Ovis aries: one gene and its partner. The protein of the gene in region 1 purifies or fractionates together with the protein of each later gene. This does not show direct contact. Links are inferred from orthologs where the notes say so. Each region holds a gene or a part of one and is shown on either strand. Other genes may lie near its edges.

What was found. Proteins that work in one complex are often made in the same cells at the same time.
Region 2: the proteins of C11H17orf49 (region 1) and SMARCA5 purify together in Homo sapiens (affinity purification with mass spectrometry; 5 studies listed by BioGRID and IntAct, with this or other methods). This does not show direct contact. The link is inferred for Ovis aries from reciprocal best matches to the Homo sapiens genes BACC1 and SMARCA5.

What each region holds. Positions count from the first base shown.
Region 1 is NC_056064.1:26,688,080-26,693,930, forward strand, and holds C11H17orf49 (chromatin complexes subunit BAP18), read left to right. Parts: upstream 1-2,395; 5' UTR 2,396-2,459; coding exon 2,460-2,480; intron 2,481-2,665; coding exon 2,666-2,760; intron 2,761-3,383; coding exon 3,384-3,485; exon of another isoform or gene 3,486-3,612; intron 3,613-3,871; exon of another isoform or gene 3,872-4,160; coding exon 4,161-4,351; exon of another isoform or gene 4,352-4,578; coding exon 4,579-4,683; exon of another isoform or gene 4,684-4,890; coding exon 4,891-4,955; 3' UTR 4,956-5,164; downstream 5,165-5,851. Other genes in the region: RNASEK (ribonuclease kappa), read left to right, coding at 328-405, 1,107-1,183, 1,750-1,891. UniProt on the Homo sapiens protein: Component of chromatin complexes such as the MLL1/MLL and NURF complexes.
Region 2 is NC_056070.1:14,452,578-14,457,893, reverse strand, and holds part of SMARCA5 (SWI/SNF-related matrix-associated actin-dependent regulator of chromatin subfamily A member 5), read left to right. Parts: intron 1-1,964; coding exon 1,965-2,131; intron 2,132-4,166; coding exon 4,167-4,267; intron 4,268-5,316. UniProt on the Homo sapiens protein: ATPase that possesses intrinsic ATP-dependent nucleosome-remodeling activity.

The sequences.
Region 1 (5,851 bases):
AGCCAAGAAACCGGAGGACTTTGCTCCTACAAAACTCGCGCCCCAGTTATTGATCCATATTGGTCAATAATGGACTCTAATTTGAGAAACACCGCCCTTCCCCTCGGAAGTCCAGAGAGGACCCGGAGGCTCCAGCGTTCTCCGCCTGGTGCCCCCCCCGGCCCGATGGTTGAGCCCGGAGGCCACGCCCCCTCGTTCTCCCTCCCTACTCTACGTCCTCCGCAGCTCGAGCCCTGAAGTCCAGCTCCCTTTTCCCAGCTCCTAGGGCCTTCCTCTCACCGATATCCTATCTGGCCCATATCTAGGCGATTCCCAACTCCTTTCTTCATGGCGTCGCTTCTGTGCTGTGGGCCCAAGCTGGCCGCCTGCGGCATCGTCCTCAGCGCCTGGGGAGTGATCATGTTGGTGAGGGGACTGCCGGGCGACTACCGGAGAGGAGAGGGCCTGAGGGGCTCAGTGTCGGAGGGCTGGAAGGCTAGGAGACTCCAGGCCTTGAAAAGCAGCAAACAGGCTGGGGGGGTGGGGGGTGGTTGATTAGCCTCTGGAGAATAAGACAGAACTGGATTGAGAAATGAGGATTTGGAGGGGAGAGGGGAAGCTGGAGGTTGGAATGGGAGCCGGGGCTGGTAAATCTGGAGTACCCTCAAGGTAAGAGGAAGGAGATCTAAGTTCTTGAGAGATCCTTGAGCTGAATGGAGGGCAGTGGGGAGAGGGACCGCTTGTTCCCGAAATGGATAGCTAGGCCTTATTTCCTCAGGACTCTACCCGCTGTACTAAAGGGAGAAATAATATGGAGAAGTGCCGATTCCCTCTACCCCCCTCTTCGCCCTGTCCCGTGATAATGACGCCTCCAGAGAGGAGGATAATCAGGGTTCCTGGGTTGTTCACTATTCCTGCCCTTGCCCCAACCACGTCTTCTCTGTGTCACCATTCAAGCTCTATTCCAGGTGACCGGAGTCCAGATCCGGGAACAACCATCCCTAATCCCAGCTCATTCTGTAATTCCCAGACCCAGATGTTGTGGCAACATTCGAAGTGGGAGGAGTTCAGGCAGCGACCAGGTCAGTTGCCTGAGTTAAAACAACCTACTCTTTCTCTTTTTTCAGATAATGCTCGGAATCTTTTTCAATGTCCATTCTGCTGTGTTAATTGAAGACGTCCCCTTCACGGAGAAAGATTTTGAGTAAGTGGAGAGGCAGGGGATGTGGTCAGAATTGGGGGCGGAGAATCGCAGGAGGCTAGACGCTTGGGCCGCGGTGGCTGGGAAACGGTGCTCTCTCTAGCACCCGGGAACAGTCTTGGGAGTCAGACTTCAGAGACCATCCTAAACCCACCGCTTTAAATGTGGCTGTTAAGAATTTTACTGGTGCTCGCTTCGGCAGCACATATACTAAAATTGGAACGATACAGAGAAGATTAGCATGGCCCCTGCGCAAGGATGACACGCAAATTCGTGAAGCGTTCCATATTTTTTGAGGATGCTCATAACACCTCCTTTATAGGGCTGTTATGAAAAATAAATCAGTTAATTCATAGAAAAAAAAAAAAGAATTTTACTGGATTTCTCTGTGCCTCCGTCCACCCCTGCAAAGTGGATGCTATAACAGAACTCTCCCCCAAAGGGTTATGAAGATTGAATAAGATAATACACATTAAAGCGTTTAGAAGGGTACAGGGCACATAGTAAGTGTTCCGTAAATGTGTGCTGTTAATGTTTCTGATATTTCTCTGCCTAATCCCCACCCCTAGGAATGGCCCCCAGAACATATACAACCTTTACGAGCAAGTCAGCTACAACTGTTTCATCGCGGCGGGCCTTTACCTCCTCCTCGGAGGCTTCTCTTTCTGTCAAGTTCGGCTCAATAAGCGCAAGGAATACATGGTGCGCTAGAGCACAGTGGCGCTCCCCCTCTCCAGCCCCCTCCTCTATTTAAAGACTCTCCCCAGGTCACAGCCCCCCGCCTCCCATTCTGGTGCCCTCTGCGGACTAGGTTTTCTTGGCGAGAGACTCAATCCCTTGTTCTCCAACCTCTGGCGCCCGGCTTCTGTGGAGGGAGGTTGGGGTTGGCCGTTCCCTGTCCCTCCGGCCCTCTCGCCTCGTCCCGTTCCACAATAAAGAGAAACTGCTCTCTTAAGACTTGTGTGTGTGTCTGGGTTAGGAGGCGGGTACCCGGGCTAGAGGTCGGTCTCCAAATAGGGAATCCCGACCCCTAGACGGAAGTGGAGTGAAACCGGGCCGGAAGTGAGGCGGTGTCTTCCACTCTCCTTCCCGCGCGCTGAGGCGGCCTGAGTAACCGCGGCTGGTGAGGCGGTGAGCGCCCGAACTGGAGCCAATCAGCTGCGGGAAGGGGCGGGACTTCCTGCGCGGGGGCTGGAGCCGTTGCACCGCCTCGCTCTTCGCGGTCCCGGCTCCGAGGTAGCGGCGGCGGCGGCGTCTCCGTGAGGAGGCGCGCGGGGCCATGACGTCAGCGTCCACAAAGGTTCGACCTCCCTCGCGGACAGCGCTCCCTGGCGGCCACGGGAGGGCGGGCCCCCCAGTTGGCTCGCGGCTCTTCCGTCCCGGGCGGGGGGCGGGCGGGAGTCCAACCTGGGGTGGGGCTAGGGGCTCCGGGCGGGACGGCGCGGGGCTGTGCGCCGGCCCCCCGTAACGCTGCCCCGCCCCCAGGTCGGAGAGATCTTCTCCGCGGCGGGCGCCGCCTTCACGAAGCTCGGAGAGCTGACGATGCAGCTGCATCCCGTGGCCGATTCTTCCCCCGCGGGGTACGTGAGCCCGGGCTGGGGACCTGGACGCTGAGATCAGACGCTGGGACTCGATCACAGACACCGACACTCTCTAGGGCAGGGACAGATGTTAGTTTCCCTTCGTGCCTGGCACAGCGCAGAGTAGATCTTAATAAATGATTATTGAATGAATGAATGACAGATAAACCACAGACTGAGGCTCGTAATCTGGACTCATTTTACAATTCTGTCCTGCTGCGCATTGGCAGAGCATAGACCATCACCACTACCCATTCACCCCAAATCATGTGGGATTCCATCAGATTGCAACAGATTGTGTTTAGGGGGTCTGTTGGTAAGACACCCCCCCACTTGTTGAATTAGTTTCAGTGGGCTGTTTACAGTAGCTGTTTCACGTTGATGGGGGAGCCGTTTTCTTCTAAGGTTGTTGCATTATCGTTTGGATGGGGGTCCTCAGGGTTCCCACAGGGCCTTAAGAATTTTTTTGCTTTTTTTGTTTGTTTTTTAAAGAGGACCTCTTTATGGAAGGGGCCCCGGACATTGCAGGGAGGAGGCTGGTTGCTGTGGAATGCGTAGCCTGTGGGCTGGCTCCACATCCCTCCTCTTCCCACTTTCGCTATTCCCCTCTCCCCTTCTGACAGTGCCAAGTGGACGGAGACGGAGATAGAGATGCTGAGGGCTGCTGTGAAGCGATTTGGGGACGATCTTAATCACATCAGCTGTGTCATCAAGGAACGGACAGTGTGAGGGAGGGCTGGCTGGCAGAGAAAGGGCGGGTGGGCAGCTTTCTTCCTCCATACCCATTTGTTCCATCTTCCTCAAACTCCCTTCCAGCTCAACATCTTTCCTACTCTGTGAGTCCCTTGAGAACTGAAAGAATAAAAGAATTGTCACAATTGGTCAGAAGTTACTAAAATGCTGTGGTCATCAGGACCTTACATGAATTTAATTTTAGGTTACCCAGTAGTTTAAGATACCCAATAGTTGAATTTGCTAATAGGAATTCCCTGGTTATTTATACAGATCTTTTGAACACTCCTGTGGTGTTTCCAGGGATATTATGATCCTGAACTAGTCGATCAGGATCTGTTAATAAGTTTCAATCTACCTGTAGGTCACCCAGGCTTACCTGGTAGTCTTCCACGTCCATACATCTCTCCCAAAAGAGAATTAGGGGGTGGGCCTTTCCCACTCCTCAGTTGAGGGACTCCACTCTTCACGCTCCATTTGCCCTCATTGGCTGCAAAGCTTCCAGGAAAACAAGAACCCTAGCAAAGGTCGTTGAGGCCCTCACCTGGATTCCTATGAAGGGGCTCCCCAGTGTTCCTTCAGAGTGGCCCATCTCCCCTGCCCCCACCCCCTTATTCTCTCAGCCTTTTTTATGACTCCCTTCCTAACTTGCTCTCTCGTCTCTTTAGGGCTCAAATAAAGGCCACTGTGAAACGAAAGGTATATGAAGATTCTGGTATCCCCCTTCCAGCCGATTCACCCAAGAAAGGGCCCAAGAAGGTGGCATCTGGTGTATTGTCGCCTCCTTCAACTGCTCCTCCACCAAGCAGCTCCAGTGTCCCTGAGGCCGGGGGTCCCCCCATAAAGAAACAGAAGGCTGGTGAGGGCTGTGGAGTTGCTGCCTGGGGATTAGATGTCCCATCCGCGGTTCAGTGAGAGAGTTGGGCTTTGGTCAGAGGACAGATCTCTTTTCCTCTCCCAGTGAAGGTTCCAGAAACTGGCTGGGGTGGGGAAGGGAGGGAAGGAGAAGTTGAAACTTTGGGAAGTGGGTGGGGTGGGGGGAGAACCATCAGGGAACCTAGAACCTAGCTTGTGCCCCCCTCCCAGATGTGACACTCAGTGCTCTGAACGACTCGGACGCCAACAGTGACCTGGTGGATATTGAGGGGCTAGGAGAAACTCCTCCAGCCAAGAAACTCAACTTCGACCAGGGTAGGAGTCCTCTTCCTCCCACAACAGCTGAAGGGATGGGGGATGGTAGGGAGGGTCTCAGCAGGAGCCCCCTCCTGTGAACTGGGGAAGAGAAAGTTCCCTGCTATGCATGCAGGGGTCAGGTCTGTAAGGAGCCAGGTGCTCTGGGGAAGCGGGAGTCCTACTTGGGACTCGCTCCATCTCGGCCCATTTTACTTCCTGTTCCAGACAGCCTGACCCTGGATTCTGGCCTTCTCTTGACCTCCGCTGATCCTCCTCTGCTCTCATGCTGAGCCTTCCACCTCTGACCCCTCTCACTGTTCACCCTGGACCTGTGGATCGCTTGGGACTCTGAGCAAGGCCTGCATGTGACAGGGTGGAAAGGCTGCCAGGGGCAGCCCACCTTGCTGTTCCCGTATGAGCATCTGCACCCCAACCCCTGGGTCCCCCCCCGCAACTGATGGACGTTTTTATACAGAAAACAATAAAGATCTCCCTCTCAGCCTGGTGCTTTCCGCCTGACATTACGGGAGTATGGGGGACACTTCTCTCTCAGCTTAGCCTCCGGGGCTCAGCCCCTCCTCGGCAGCTCTCACCACCCTGCCTGGAGCAGCACAGCCAATATTGGCAGGCTCTCTTCCCAGTACCAACATTTCTGTGCTGCTAGAGCCAGGGGAGCTGGGCGTGGGCAACAAAGACTCCACTTTGCTCTCTGGAGGCAGCATGTACTCTGGGGTCTCTGGCAGCCAGTTCTCCTGAGACTGCCCTGGGGACTTCAGAAGGGCAGCTTCCAGGGCTTTCACACCTCCCATTCCCCGCCCCACCCCACCCCACCTCCCACCTCACCAGAAGGCCCCAGATGTTTTCTGTGTCGCTTCTCCAGGGTGGCCTCCTGGGCCAAGCCTCAGCGGCGCCTCCCCCACCCTCGCTCTAACACCACAGTGTGGTTTGGACGTGGCCACAGTGCCGTACAAACCACAGTGTGCTGCTGGGGCGGGAGCAGGACTGGGGTGGGTTGAGAGAAAGGGAGCACAAGACAGTGCTGTGAAGACCCCACCACCACCAAGGGTGGGGAGATAGAGAAGGCTGAAAGGCAAACATGGCCCCAAGAAGGGTTGGGGAAAGCAAGAAACTAGAGCTAGGAGCTGAGCAGGCCACTGAAGGGAGAGGGGCCTATGGGGTGAGCTTA
Region 2 (5,316 bases), on another chromosome or scaffold:
TCTTTGGCTTAGTTTTAGTTTCACTCTCCTTATTCATACTTGTATTTGACCCCATTGGCCACTCCACAAATTTTTTTCTTGCCTTGAGAGACCTTTTTGCTTTGATGATACCTTATTTATTTGATTATTCATTTGTCCTTCATTACATTTTGAATATTTGTTCTTGGACAGTTAGCCTTGTCACTGGTTTTCATCTGCCACTTTTAAATGAGTTCTTCTGAATATTTATCTCTAGCTCAGATGCCTCCAATCATTGTATTTTCATTTGCTTGTTGAACATTTAAATCCCTTTGGTAAGTCTTATTTAGGAGTATCCGAAGTTGAATTCATTATCTGTTTCCCACACAGTTATTTAGTGTTCTCTCAATGAATGAAAAATTTTCTTAATAAATACCCAAGCTGTTTATAACAGTGTGTCATAGTCTTGGCAGATTTAACTTCATAAATTTTTTTTTTATCTTTTACCCGCCACTCTAGTTCATTATTCTTCCGTTACATGAATTATTTCATTGGCATCTTCATTTGGCTCGTTTCTCACGATCTAGCTTCTTTCTGATCTGTGTTTTTGTAAAGTCTATGACACTGATCTGATTATATAATGGAGGTTTTCAGTGGTTCTTTACAATGCTTCTCATCTCCACAGCTCCCTTTATTGCAATTTTTTTCTCACTTCCTACAAATTTTTCAGTCTCCTGCTTTAATTTCCTTTTTCAAAATTATGACCTTGACAAGCAGTTTTCTTCTGAGCAGACTCCTTATCATCTGTTAGATCCTATTCATAGGTAAGTCAGTGAGAGAATCAGTGAGAGAATTTTGGAAATTATGAAATCTTCTGTAGCGCTTCCGTGAAGTTTATACTTCGTTCTTTAAGGTAGTAGTCTCAGACTTGACCTTGTAGAAGATAACAAAGATTTTGGATATTTCTGATCTAATGGATCATGAACCACAGTTTGACATCTAGAACCATTAAAGGATCTTGAGCACTAGAGAGGTGTGGTCACCGTGTGCCTTCAGTGTCAAATTGGGCTTCTGTTTTACACTGGTGTGATGTTTAGAAATTATGTTTTCATTTAAAAAGCACATTAGACTACCTCTGGTGTTTGCTAGGTAAAATGTTTTGTGATTCATTGTAAAGTTGACATTTTAAGCATTTATGGGTAGAGATACTGAGTAACAGGCTTCTCTGTTTATTGAACTCTTGTCTTCTTGTTTCTCCTTATTTAAAATCAAAGTATTGATGTGTCTGTAAAAAATCTGTTGTCTAAAGGCTGTAGATTTCTATTGTTCATTTTTATAAGAACTTGATTTCAAGGTCTTAAGTTTTTTTGGTCTTCTGTTCTTTTTGTGTGATAATAGGAAACACTCAAAGCCGCAGATGTTAGATATAAAAATAAGAAATGGTATTAAGAACTACATAGGGTTAATGAATATTTCATGAACTTAATAGATGTTTTTCAAGCCTGATAGCTTTTTAAAATTTGTCACAACATTTTTCCCTCTTCTGAATAAGTATACCTGTATTGCAGTGTCTTTATTTTTTTATTTGATATTTTTTCAACTACATTCAAGTATCACTGACACACAGTAGTTTTATGTTTTTAATTCAGTGAGTTTTGGCAAAGAGTTGAGGCCGTTTAGACACCGTACAGTCACAATGTAGAACAGTTCTGTCATCCCCCGGACATTTGCTCCTGCTCTCATCCCTGACACTTCAGCTCCCCTTTCTGAGAAATCACTACGTAGAATTTCATGTAGAAAATCACTGTTTGGAATTTGGGTCGTATAGTGTGTAGTTGCATGCTTGCTTGCTTTCACATAGTATCATACTTTTGAATCTCATCTATGTTGTTGCATGTAGCAGGAGGTCCTTTTTATTGCTGAGATTGTTGTATGGAGACGTTGAAATTTTGATTTCTGATTTTGTATTGATACTTTGATAAAATGTGTTTTCATATTTCTTCCAGCAAACTGACCGGGCAAATAGGTTTGAGTATTTATTAAAGCAGACAGAACTGTTTGCACATTTCATTCAGCCTGCTGCTCAGAAGACTCCAACCTCACCTTTGAAGATGAAACCAGGGCGCCCACGAATAAAAAAGGATGAGAAACAGAACTTGCTATCAGTTGGCGAGTGAGTAATAGTTGATACTTAACAGCTGAACCAGACTTATTTTAGATAGTCTTCATTAGAAGCACAAAATCATTTTATTAAAAAAAGTTATAGTGCTGTTACTTATTTGGCCCAGTTGGCTTGGCAGGATATAGCCATACATGTATAAATAAATAAAAATAGGCATAATGCTTTATTTTTATATAGATTGAGTGTCGAATTCAGATGTTACCTTCTCCTTGGAGTGGAAACAAACGCAAAGGTTAAGTGGCCTACTTAATATCATAATAGAAGGAATTAGAATAATCTGACTTTGAACTTAGATCTGACTTGGGGCATTCTCTAGTCTCCTAAACCACATACGTGGATTGAGAGTACTGCTGTTATCTGAAGTCTGTGCTTGTTTATAGATAGTATGATGATTTATGTCATGGTAGTCTACTTAAAATTTTTGTTATAAACTTAGTTTCTTTATATAAAAGGAAATGTCAAGTTGTATGATGCCATTGTTAGGTGGTGGTGCAAAATTTGTAAAGTAATTCTTACATGTTGAATTTATAGATTCTTTCTTAGAATTTGTGCTGGTTGGATAACTTAAGATGTTTGGTGGTGGTTTAGTTGCTAAGTTGTGTCCTACTCTTGGGATCGTATGAACTGTAGCCTGCCAGGCTCCTTTCTGTCCATAGGGTTTTCCAGGCAAGAATGCTGGAGAGGGTTGCCATTTCCTTCTCCAGGGGATCTTCCCAACCTAGGACTTGAACCTGGGTCTCCTGCATTGCAGGCGTATTCTTTACCAACTGAGCCATGAGGGAAGCCCTAACTAAGATGTTTAGTTAGTAATAATGAATTTAGGGCAACCTCGTTGCTTGAAAGTAACCATTAATTGAAGTAACAAAGCATATGCCAACTTTTATCTTTAGTTTAACAACCATAATAATCAGTCATCTTGATAGTATATTATGAAGGAGATTTTATTTTTAAAAAAAAGAGCAAAGTTAAGTTTCTCTCTTGGTTTATGGAGAGTAACTTGGGGTTGAGGGGTAGATTTTTGAATTAAGTTTTCGTAAGATTGGAATGCAGAGAAACACAAGAAGTAAACACATATGACCAGCAAGAAGGGACTTCCCAGGTAGTCCAGTGGCCAAGACTCCACACCCCTGGTACAGAGGGCCTGGGGTCCACTCCTGGTCAGGAAACTAGATCCCATATGCCACACTAAGAGTTTGCGTGTCACAGCAAAGATCAGAGATCCTACATGCCACAGCCAAGATCCGGTGCGGCCAGATAAATATGAAAAAATAAAAAACTACTAAAAAATAAAAATCCTTGGATTTTTATTGCCTTCACTTTCATTTCTGAGGAATGTTTCTCTTTCTGGGAAGGCTGATTATCTTTCCCACAAAGCATGTTGTTTTAATAGAAATCAAGCAATAATTTAGATATAGAGATCACAAGAGTGGAATATAATCTACTGTTTTCTAATTTAAATGAAAGTATTTGTTGAAAGTATATAGGTATAAGTGGAAACTTGAAAACTGGGGAGTAAGTAGTTTTACTAACCTGAGTCCTTTAGAGATTAAGAAATCTGGCAATATTATACCTACAAAAAATTAGTTTTTAAGAGACTGTATGTGACTCGGTTGGGATGTAAAATCTGGGCATGTATATTTAAAAAGCTTCAAGTAATTCTGATGAATCTCTAGTTAAAGAGTCATTGCCTTAAGCCCTAAGTCTCTGTTCTGCAAATTCTGTAGCTTTTGGTGAAAGTTGTAGTTTTTAAAATGTGATTTCTGGGGGAACTATTTTTGGAGTGGGAGCAAAATACTTCACATTAAAATATAAACTATGAGGTTTTTCTTACTGCATACTTCATTGAAATTAGATTATCACATTTATGTTTATCAGGTTCTGGTTAACCTAAGGTATTACTCTATAGTCTTAATTTACATGCCTCTTAAGATACTGTGAAATATTGGTCAGCCTCTTGACTACTATGTTGAAAGCTGGTAATTAAAGCCAAGACTCAGATGGCTTGATTTTATTTTACACTTGGCAGCTATCGACACCGAAGAACAGAGCAAGAAGAAGATGAAGAATTATTAACAGAAAGCTCCAAAGCAACCAATGTTTGCACTCGGTTTGAAGACTCTCCATCATGTATGTTATATATATTTAATTACTTAATCTTTAAAACATCCACTTGTAGCCTTTGGTTAATGTTGGGGTTTTTCTTGGCTATAATTTATAAAGGGAATTTTAAGTAATCTTTGAAATTTATTGATTGTGAAATGAACTTCAGATACTTTTTTGGCTAGAAGTGATAGTATATCATTATGATAGTGATGCTGTATTTCAAAAGGGCATAAATCACCATTGTGCTTGATGTTTCCTGAATGTATATGTAAAAATGGGAATGGAATTTGCCATATATTTGCCCTAGAGAAGAAAGATGTGTAGGAAAAGGTAGTTATTAAAGACTTTTTGTTACTCATCTCCTGATTTTGTCTTTGTTTTAAAGTTTATAAATGGTTTTCCAAAAGAAAACATGGTTAACCAGGTTTAGGTTTTACTTATGTATAATCTTGGGTTTCCCAAGTGGCATTAGTGGTAAAGAGTCTGCCTGCCAGTGCTAGAGACTGACCCATGGGTTCGATCCCTGGGTCAGGAGATCCCCTGGAGGAGGTCATGGCAACCACTCTGGTATTCTTGCCTGGAGAGTCCCATGGACAGAGGACAGTCCATGTAGCCATGTCAGGCTGCAGTCCGTGAAGTTGCAGAGTCGGATATGACTGAAGCGACGTAGCATGCGTGCATGTATAATCTTGGTTGTCTGGTGGCACAGTTTTTTTACTGAGCCCAGTAATTTTTTTTCCCTGATCTTTCTCTTTCTCACTTGATGACAAGTTTGTACGATCATAGTGGTTGTGAGCAAAAGAAAAATTTATAGTAGTACAGGGTTTATAATTTGGATTGGATGTTTTAATAATTAACTGTCATCTTGAACTCTTAGCAGACTAAACTTCAAGGAGGGTAGGATCTGGTTAGAAATGCATTAGTCTGGTTAAAGTGCGTATCTCCAGATTTTTTTTTTTCTGTTGGCTACAGAGTACCCAGTTTTCACTTCTTATTATGAAGCTAGAGGCCAGAGCCAGATTTGTGGTGCAGAGAGAAAGGAAATTTGAAGTATTTGAGTTGACTCTTTCTCA